Drosophila melanogaster: one gene and its partner. The protein of the gene in region 1 interacts with the protein of each later gene in a pairwise test. Each region holds a gene or a part of one and is shown on either strand. Other genes may lie near its edges. The genes, in order: CG6665 and CG12766.

Evidence for each region.
Region 2: the proteins of CG6665 (region 1) and CG12766 interact in a two-hybrid assay, tested with the Drosophila melanogaster proteins (one large-scale study listed by BioGRID).

The regions. Positions count from the first base shown.
Region 1 is NT_033778.4:16,955,402-16,959,506, forward strand, and holds CG6665 (uncharacterized protein), read left to right. Parts: upstream 1-2,063; 5' UTR 2,064-2,165; coding exon 2,166-2,791; intron 2,792-2,859; coding exon 2,860-3,283; 3' UTR 3,284-3,526; downstream 3,527-4,105. Other genes in the region: PIG-V (phosphatidylinositol glycan anchor biosynthesis class V), read left to right, coding at 352-1,701; CG9010 (uncharacterized protein), read right to left, coding at 3,663-4,105.
Region 2 is NT_037436.4:3,938,086-3,942,395, reverse strand, and holds CG12766 (uncharacterized protein), read left to right. Parts: upstream 1-2,270; 5' UTR 2,271-2,311; coding exon 2,312-2,389; intron 2,390-2,508; coding exon 2,509-2,676; intron 2,677-2,744; coding exon 2,745-2,917; intron 2,918-3,036; coding exon 3,037-3,181; intron 3,182-3,239; coding exon 3,240-3,437; intron 3,438-3,500; coding exon 3,501-3,701; 3' UTR 3,702-3,772; downstream 3,773-4,310. Other genes in the region: CG10863 (uncharacterized protein), read left to right, coding at 1-38, 126-293, 360-532, 626-770, 827-1,024, 1,092-1,283.

The DNA of each region.
Region 1 (4,105 bases):
TTTACATATTAATTTAATTCTGTTTATTAAATATATTATTCTCGTATCGATAATATATCGAAAGTGTCTAATGCTTCCTCAAACCCTCTGGTCACACCATGCTCTGCTTTTCCGGGCTTCTGCCCAAAAATAATATATAATAATAAAACCGCTTCACAAAGTAAATGTCACCAAAAGAGAAGGCAGTTCAAGAAGCAACCGAGGAGCTGATTTGCCTTTTTCCCTCCGCAGCAGTGTCCAGGCCAGAAGATCCGTCCACATCGTTTTAGCTGTGAGGTATGCCCTCGACCTGATATGAATCACATGCCCGCCGAATGATAATCGACTCCACCCAAGACCTAGAAATCTGAAATGACAGAGAAAGTGACTAAACTGGCGCTGGCCAGTCGCCTTATCGTCCTCCTGGTACAATTGGTCGCCAACGGAGCCCTGCCAGAGCACAAACCAGATGTATTCCGGATGCCGGTTTCGTCAGATCAGAATGCCTCCTGGATAGACAAGGTGATTAAGCGCTGCTTGGGAGGATTACGGCACTGGGATGGAGAATACTTTCTGCATATAGCCGAGAATCTGTACAGCTACGAAAACACGTTGGCCTTCTATCCACTATATCCGGTTGTCGTGCGTCACGTGGGACAGGCCGTGGAGGCCATCGGGATCTCCTTATCACAGGAATCTATCCTGCTGGTGGTGGCTGTCGCCCTGAACTTCTGGCTCTTCTGCGAGTCAGCTAATTTGCTGTTTCAGCTCACCCAAGTATTGTTCAACGATTTAAACAAGAGCTGGAATGCGGCCCTCATCTACTGCTTTAATCCGGCAACCATTTTCTTCACCGCCGCCTACTCAGAGACCTTTTTCGCCTACTCCAGCCTTCATCTGATGCTGGAGTGCTCGAAGCCGACGGGTAGCTTCCGATATCTGCGTTTGGGAACCGCCTTAGCCGCCTGTTTACTGTGCCGCTCAAATGGATTAATCACCTTGGGATACCCGCTCTACTTCTTCGGACGCCAACTGCTACTCAAGAACAAGGAGCCCAACACCTGCATGCAGCTGACACAAATGACGCTGACCATTCTGGGAGCCATTGGGATACTGCACACCTACTATTTCTACATATACAGGCTATACTGTCTGCCGAACACAAGGCCAAACCATCCGCAGCACATTGTGGACTACGCAGTGGAACGGAAGTACCTATTGTCTGGCCAGGGCTCTGAAGGATCACCTTGGTGCCAGTACACGTTGCCGTTCCCCTACACTTACGTGCAGTCGCACTACTGGGATGTGGGCTTCCTGCGATACTACAAGTGGAAACAGCTGCCCAACTTCTTGCTGGCCCTGCCCATGCTGAGTTTCATGCACTGGCACTGCTACGACTACATGCAGCATTTGGCCAAAGCGGTCTGGGCCAAATTGACGCCCTCTGGCTTCAAGGAGCTGATAAGGGACCACACCACATTCCCTTTCGTGCTGCACGCTGCGATTCTCACCCTTGTCTGCACCGTCTACGTGCACATCCAAGTGTCCACACGCCTCCTGGCCTCGGCCACACCTGTTTTCTACTGGTTTGCCGCTGACCACATGCCCAAGACACTGGCCCAACTAAAACTGCGTTCGAAGGCAGGAGCTCTCTTTGTATGGTGCACCACTTATAGTTTGGTGGGCACGGTGCTATTCAGTAATAATTACCCGTGGACGTGAGCAAAATGATTGAAGTAAAAGGAGCAATATAACTCGCTGGTTGCCAAAGAGACTGTTCATCCGCATGGATTTCTTTTTTAGTGTGTAAATAATCGTCCAAGTTCTCAAAATTCAATTGTTGAGGCGCTCAAAAGTATTGGTTTCCCATTTCTATTTCCATATATCATATACAAAAAAGTAAAAAATAAAATTGTTGACCATTTTAGAAAATAATTGTAATGATTGTTTTGTATTACTGTTACATAAGTTTACATTTTCCTAACCATTACAAAATTATGTGTTTAAAATTTGCGCTTCGTTTTTGAAACTTGGTATATAAGATATAATTATGTATTTCTAGTATTTTCCAAACGTAAGCGGTCACACTCAGAATCAGCTGACTTGGGTGGTTGACCAAAACAACAAAGAATTTTCTTGAGAAAATTGTTTATTATTTCATATCCGCGAATTAAAAAGTATTCGCCATGGATGGGCATCTGCGCCTGCATAAGGTAGGCGACTACGCCGCACCGAGTCTTCAGGAGAAGGCCAGCAAGGCGGGCGGCAACATGGAACAGCTTTCGGGCGTGATGATAATCATCATAATCAGCGGAGGAGTACTTACTTGCCTGATGCTGTTCATCTTTGCCAAGCGGCAGATTATGCGCTTCCAGCTGCGAGGACGTCGGGGGCCCCACGTTCCGGTAGGCAATGATGCCAAGAAGGCACTAAGGAGAGAGATTGAGCGGCGCCTAGATTGCATCCAGAAAATCACGCAGGAGCCGAAACTGCTGTGGGACGATGGCGACAAGTACATCGTTCAGCCGGAGCAGGAGGCACCATTGCCACCCTACTACTACCGCATGAAGGCGGTTGATGACGTGAAACTGCTAGAATCCGAAATAGCGAGGGCGGACGGTAGCTCCCGACATGCTCCTGAGAGCTTGAGGGCCTTTCTGCTGACCACTTTATCGGTGACGCTTAACGGAGCAGGGCAGCGAATGATTCACCAATATTGCGATATGTACGAACATGCTCGGCACGATCCGAATGAGTTCGGAAAGGATGAGTACGAGGCGTATCACCATTTGCTGCTGAAGCTGATGGAGGCGTATGTGAACTAGAGTGGGCTATTTGTTAATCTTTTCAATGACAATGAACTTTGCTTTTACCTTACAGATCCAAACAGCTAAAGAACTACAATTCTCGTAAGGCATCGCCTGCACGAACGCCCAGAAAACAGACCAAAATGCATTCCCTACTAGATCCTGCGCGCCTGCGTCCGCCCACGACATTGGAAAATGTGCAGCCCAGCAGTGAACTTAAGACTGGACAGCACGCCAAGGTTAATCTGACTCTGGGTCTGCAGGGAGGCGGTGGTGGCGGTGGCGATGGTCCCGCCGAGCTAGCCACAAATCCTCTTCATCTTCAAGCACCCTCCGACAGAGATCTCATCATACGCAATAGAATTAAGACACCCACACTGGATGACATCATCGTAGAGGCGGACCACCATCAGAGCAGTGATGGAGGTGTCATGGAGGACAATGAGATTAAGAGTATATCATCAATGCAGTTTCAGCGGAACTCCAGCAATGTCTAAGACAATTTCCAAAGAATTCAGTCACTTTTTCTTATTGGCTTTTATGTCTGCCAGGAAAATATGGGTATACATTTTTTTGTTCTTTATTTATTTGTTGGAAAAAGGGCGAATAAAAGCCGATTGCATCCTATGCTATCTATAGTTTAGCCCATAAGAATTGCAAAATATGAAATCTGCGCCTAAAACTATGGTAAAATGGATTACATTACATTAATTTTTAAGTAAATAAAGATTTCTAAATATAAATCTAATTTAAATAAATCTAGACTTGGTTAAAAAAATTTTTAATTCTTTTCTAAGAGTTTCCTATTTCTTGTTCTTGCAAGGATCTTCCTATTTCTTGCAGGGATCATCCTTTTTTCTTACATGGATCTTCCATCTAGCAAGCACCCTTTTCCTTCGCATCGCATTGGTCGACCAACTGGGCATAGAGAACTAGGTCAAGGAGACGGCAGGAATATCCGGTCTCGTTATCGTACCAACTGATCAACTTGACGAAGTTATCGTTTAGGGCAATACAGGCCTTGGCATCAAAGACGGATGCAAATCGTGAGCCGTTAAAATCGGTGGACACCACCTCCTCCTCCACATACCCCAGGATTCCCTTCATTTCGCATTTGGATGCAGCCTTTATGCACTTCTTGATATCGTCCATTTTGGCGGGCTTAGAAAGCCTACAGGTGAGGTCCACCACCGAGACATTGGGAACTGGTACACGGAAAGCCATACCCGTTAGCTTCCCGTTTAGATCCGGAATCACCTTGCCGACGGCTTTAGCGGCTCCCGTGGATGCGGGTATGATGTTGGTCATGCCACTGCGTC
Region 2 (4,310 bases), on another chromosome or scaffold:
GCACCCAAATCCAGTCCATCGGACTGGGCACCTATACGGTAAGATAACGCCGTGAAGATCACGTCTTCGATGGTTATCAGTTGGAAACGGACCATATCTCATTATAAAACGATTCGCACTTTCAGTCGTTGGGAGGCGATTGCGAGCGGGCCACGCTGCATGCGATTGATGTGGGCTACCGGCACATAGACACCGCCTATTTCTACGAGAACGAGAATGAGGTGGGTGCAGCTGTCCAGCGAAAGATTGCCGAGGGCGTTATCAAGCGGGAGGACATCCACATCACCACCAAGGTGAGTTCTGTGATTAGTCAATTATGAAATGCCCAACATCCTGAAATGGAAATCTATACTCCCCAGTTATGGTGCCACTTCCATGAGCCGAAGAGGGTGGAATATGCGTGCCGCAAGACTCTGCAGAACTTTGGTCTGCAGTACGTGGATCTCTACCTGATGCACTGGCCCTACTCCTACGTCTACCGCGGCGACAACGAGATGATGCCCACCGATGCCAAGGGGGAGGTGGAACTCAAGTGAGTTTTTAATTTAGTCAATTACTTTTCTAATGCGGGTGTGCTTCGTTTGTATTTGCTTGACTCTTAATGACCAAATTTGTGCTATTACAGCGATATCGATTACCTAGACACCTGGCGCGAAATGGAGAAGCTCGTGGAACTGGGCCTGACCAAGAGCATCGGCGTATCCAATTTCAACTCGGAACAGTTGACTCGCTTGCTGGCCAACTGCAAGATCAAGCCAATCCACAATCAGGTGCGTCAATTGTGGTTATGCCTTGGGTTTCATATTCCTAATAGACCATTTTCCAGATCGAATGTCATCCCGCGTTGAACCAGAAGAAATTGATTGCTCTGTGCAAGAAGAATGACATTGTAGTGACCGCCTACTGTCCCCTGGGCAGACCCAATCCAGCAGAAAAGACGCCCAACTACATCTATGATGCCAAGGTGCAGGCAATTGGAGACAAGTACAAGAAGTCCACCGCCCAAGTGGTGCTCCGATATCTGGTAGGGATTACGAACTAGGTTTAATGAGAACAAAAACTCTTTATTAACATAATGTTTATCGAAATAGATTGAGATTGGAACCATCCCATTGCCAAAGTCCTCAAATCCCAAGCGCATCGAGGAGAACTTCCAGATCTTCGACTTCCAGCTGGATGCTGAGGATCATGCCATTCTGGATTCCTACAACACCGGAGAACGTCTGATTCCCATGACCCACGCCATCAAAAGCAAGAACTATCCATTTAACATCGAGTTTTGAGCTGGAAAGCAGGAGCAATGTTTGATATTAATTAAAGTGGTTGTTAAATCTGATATTTTGTGTACATATACATATGTTTTTTAAAAATAAACACCAATAATAATTATTTTTGAGATCTTTTTTCATGTTGAAATATTTATGTTTATTTTGGAGATTTTTATATAACAAGCACACTTATTTTTTTTTTTTTACATAATATCGCATTAGTTTTACTTTTAAGCATTTTGATAGTACGTAATTCTTCTATTTTAGTCTTATCACTTGAACTGTTTCTTATTTGCAGTCAAGGGTGTGGCAAATATTTTAAAGGGGCATAAAATATAATAAACATTTGAAGTCATCTATGAAAACAATACGAATTCATTTTGTGATTATATACATATAATCTTAATTAAACAATACCCTTTTTTGGACACCACTGCTGAACATTTAATGATTTGAGAGAGAGCTTTTGCTCGATCATTTAGTTTTTAGTGTGGGCTTGGCATGGAAAATTCCACTTAATCAAAATCATTTGGTCTAGTACAATTTCGCCAACACTTGTCTGAATTCAATTATTCACAACTGCAAGGCAGATTGCAAAAATGAAAAGCTATAAAAGGGAAGAGAATATAAACAAACCCACATGTAATAGGTAAATAAACAAAACTAGCGATAAAGTTAACCGAATCAGCTTTGCGCGCCACTCAACTATCAAGCTATCGATAAGTGTTTTTCAAAAGTGTTCCCACATATTTTTAAATGGGATTTTACACATGATTTGGTTTGGATCATTTATAAAAAATATGTGTTTAATTTATCCTTATTAAAACATTAAAATAATGCATTTAATATATTGGTTAGCACACTTAGAACCTACGCTCCTTGCGTCTCTATAAACTATTTCCAAGTTTCTCTGCCAGCTTGGCCGTGTTTTATCTGCAAATGCAAAAGGTCTTTTGAAGGTTCTATGGGCCCATTCGAAAACCTTATAACAGAGGTGAAGCGAGCAACCCAAGCATTCAGTGTTCAACTTTGTAACCGCGAAGATGACCGGGAAAGTGGAGTACTACTTCAAGCACAACGACGGAACCCATATCCAGGGAATCGGACTGGGCACCTTCGCGGTATGACATTGACTGGTTGATCATAGCATATCCGATACGGATCAGGAATGTCGCCTATCAGTAGCCGGGTTAACGTCATTTGAAGAACCGCTAACGTTATTGATGACTTGTGATTTCAGTCGACGGAAGGCGATTGCGAACGGGCAGTTCTCCACGCGATTGATGTGGGCTACCGGCACATAGACACCGCCTACTTCTACGGAAATGAGGCCGAAGTGGGTGCGGCGGTTCGGAAGAAGATTGCCGAAGGCGTCATCAAGCGGGAGGACATATTCATCACCACCAAGGTCAGTTGGCAAGTTCTTATAGCAGGCATATCATAAACTAATCCTTAAGTGGCCACATATTTCCGCAGCTCTGGTGCAATTTCCATGAACCGGAAAGGGTGGAGTATGCCTGCCGAAAGACCTTGAAGAATATTGGCCTGGATTATGTTGACCTCTATCTGATTCACTGGCCTTTCTCCTATAAATATCGCGGTGATAACGAACTGATTCCCAAAGATGCCAATGGAGAGGTGGAACTTGTGTGAGTAAAATGAATAATATATGAAATATTTCGAATCGATTGGCACTTACAAGTGATTGTGAAATGCGCCTTCTATTATCAGTAATCTTACTATGCCGTTTACTTGCTTCAAACTACAGAGACATTGATTACCTGGACACTTGGGGCGCCATGGAGAAGTTGGTTGACCTGGGCCTGACCAAGAGCATCGGAGTGTCCAATTTCAACGAGGAGCAACTGACGCGCCTGTTGGCCAACTGCAAGATCAAGCCAATCCACAATCAAGTAACTTAGTCACAGGATGTTCCCTCCAGTTTCTCAACTCATATTGTTCTTTCTGCAGATTGAGGTACACCCCGCGTTGGATCAGAAGAAACTGATTGCCCTGTGCAAGAAGAATGGAATCCTGGTGACCGCCTTCAGTCCACTGGGCAGGCACAATGCCGAGTTGAGGACGCCCACCTTTATGTACGATGGCAAGGTTCAGGCCATCGCAGACAAGTACAATAAGTCCATTGCCCAAGTGGTGATCCGATATGTGGTAAGGATTTTCGATTTAGGCCTTATGTTGAACCGGATTTCTCATGATGAATTCTAATTTCAGATTGAGCTGGGAACCATCCCGCTGCCCAAGTCCTCCAATCCCAAGCGCATTGAGGAGAACTTCAATGTCTTCGATTTCAAGCTGGATGCTGAAGATCATGCCATCTTGGACTCGTATCACAATGGAGAACGTGTTGCCCATGCCCGACAAGCCATCAAGAGTAAATACTATCCCTTCAACGTGTATAGTGCTTGTTTTTGATACAACAAATATATTTAAGTTATTATGATTAATAAATAAATAGTAACCCTTGTAAGGGAATGCCCAAAAGCAAGAAGATTTCTAACGTCATTTACAATCGGTAAGTATTTTTCGTAAGTGTTTTGTATATGTCTTTTTTGGCCTTATCATCACAAGTACTTCCCATTGATATTCACATGGATTGGTTAATAAATCAAACAGCGCGGCACTTTTTTGTTCCAGTCATTCAGTTTTTTCTTAGAGAATGTATATATTTCTTAATGCAAAAATTTAAAAACTGATATACTTTTACAACAAAAGTGAAAACTTTTATTTTTGATTGTATTTAAATCGAAGTTGTACCCGTATCATAATGCACAATAGAACAGATAATAGAAAATAGGGTAGCGGATCCATTATGAAAGTCAAGTTCTCGATAAGAAAAATATAAGAAGTCGATTGTTTTACCCAGCTAGCTGTGAAAATAGGAAATAATATGTTTGTATTAAAATCTACCAATGTAAATAACATTAAAAGCTTTTTCTCTGCTGCATTTAAAATAAAATTGAAATGATCAATGTCATGAATAGAAAAATGTTACAGCGAATATTTTAAATTTCAATCTCGCGG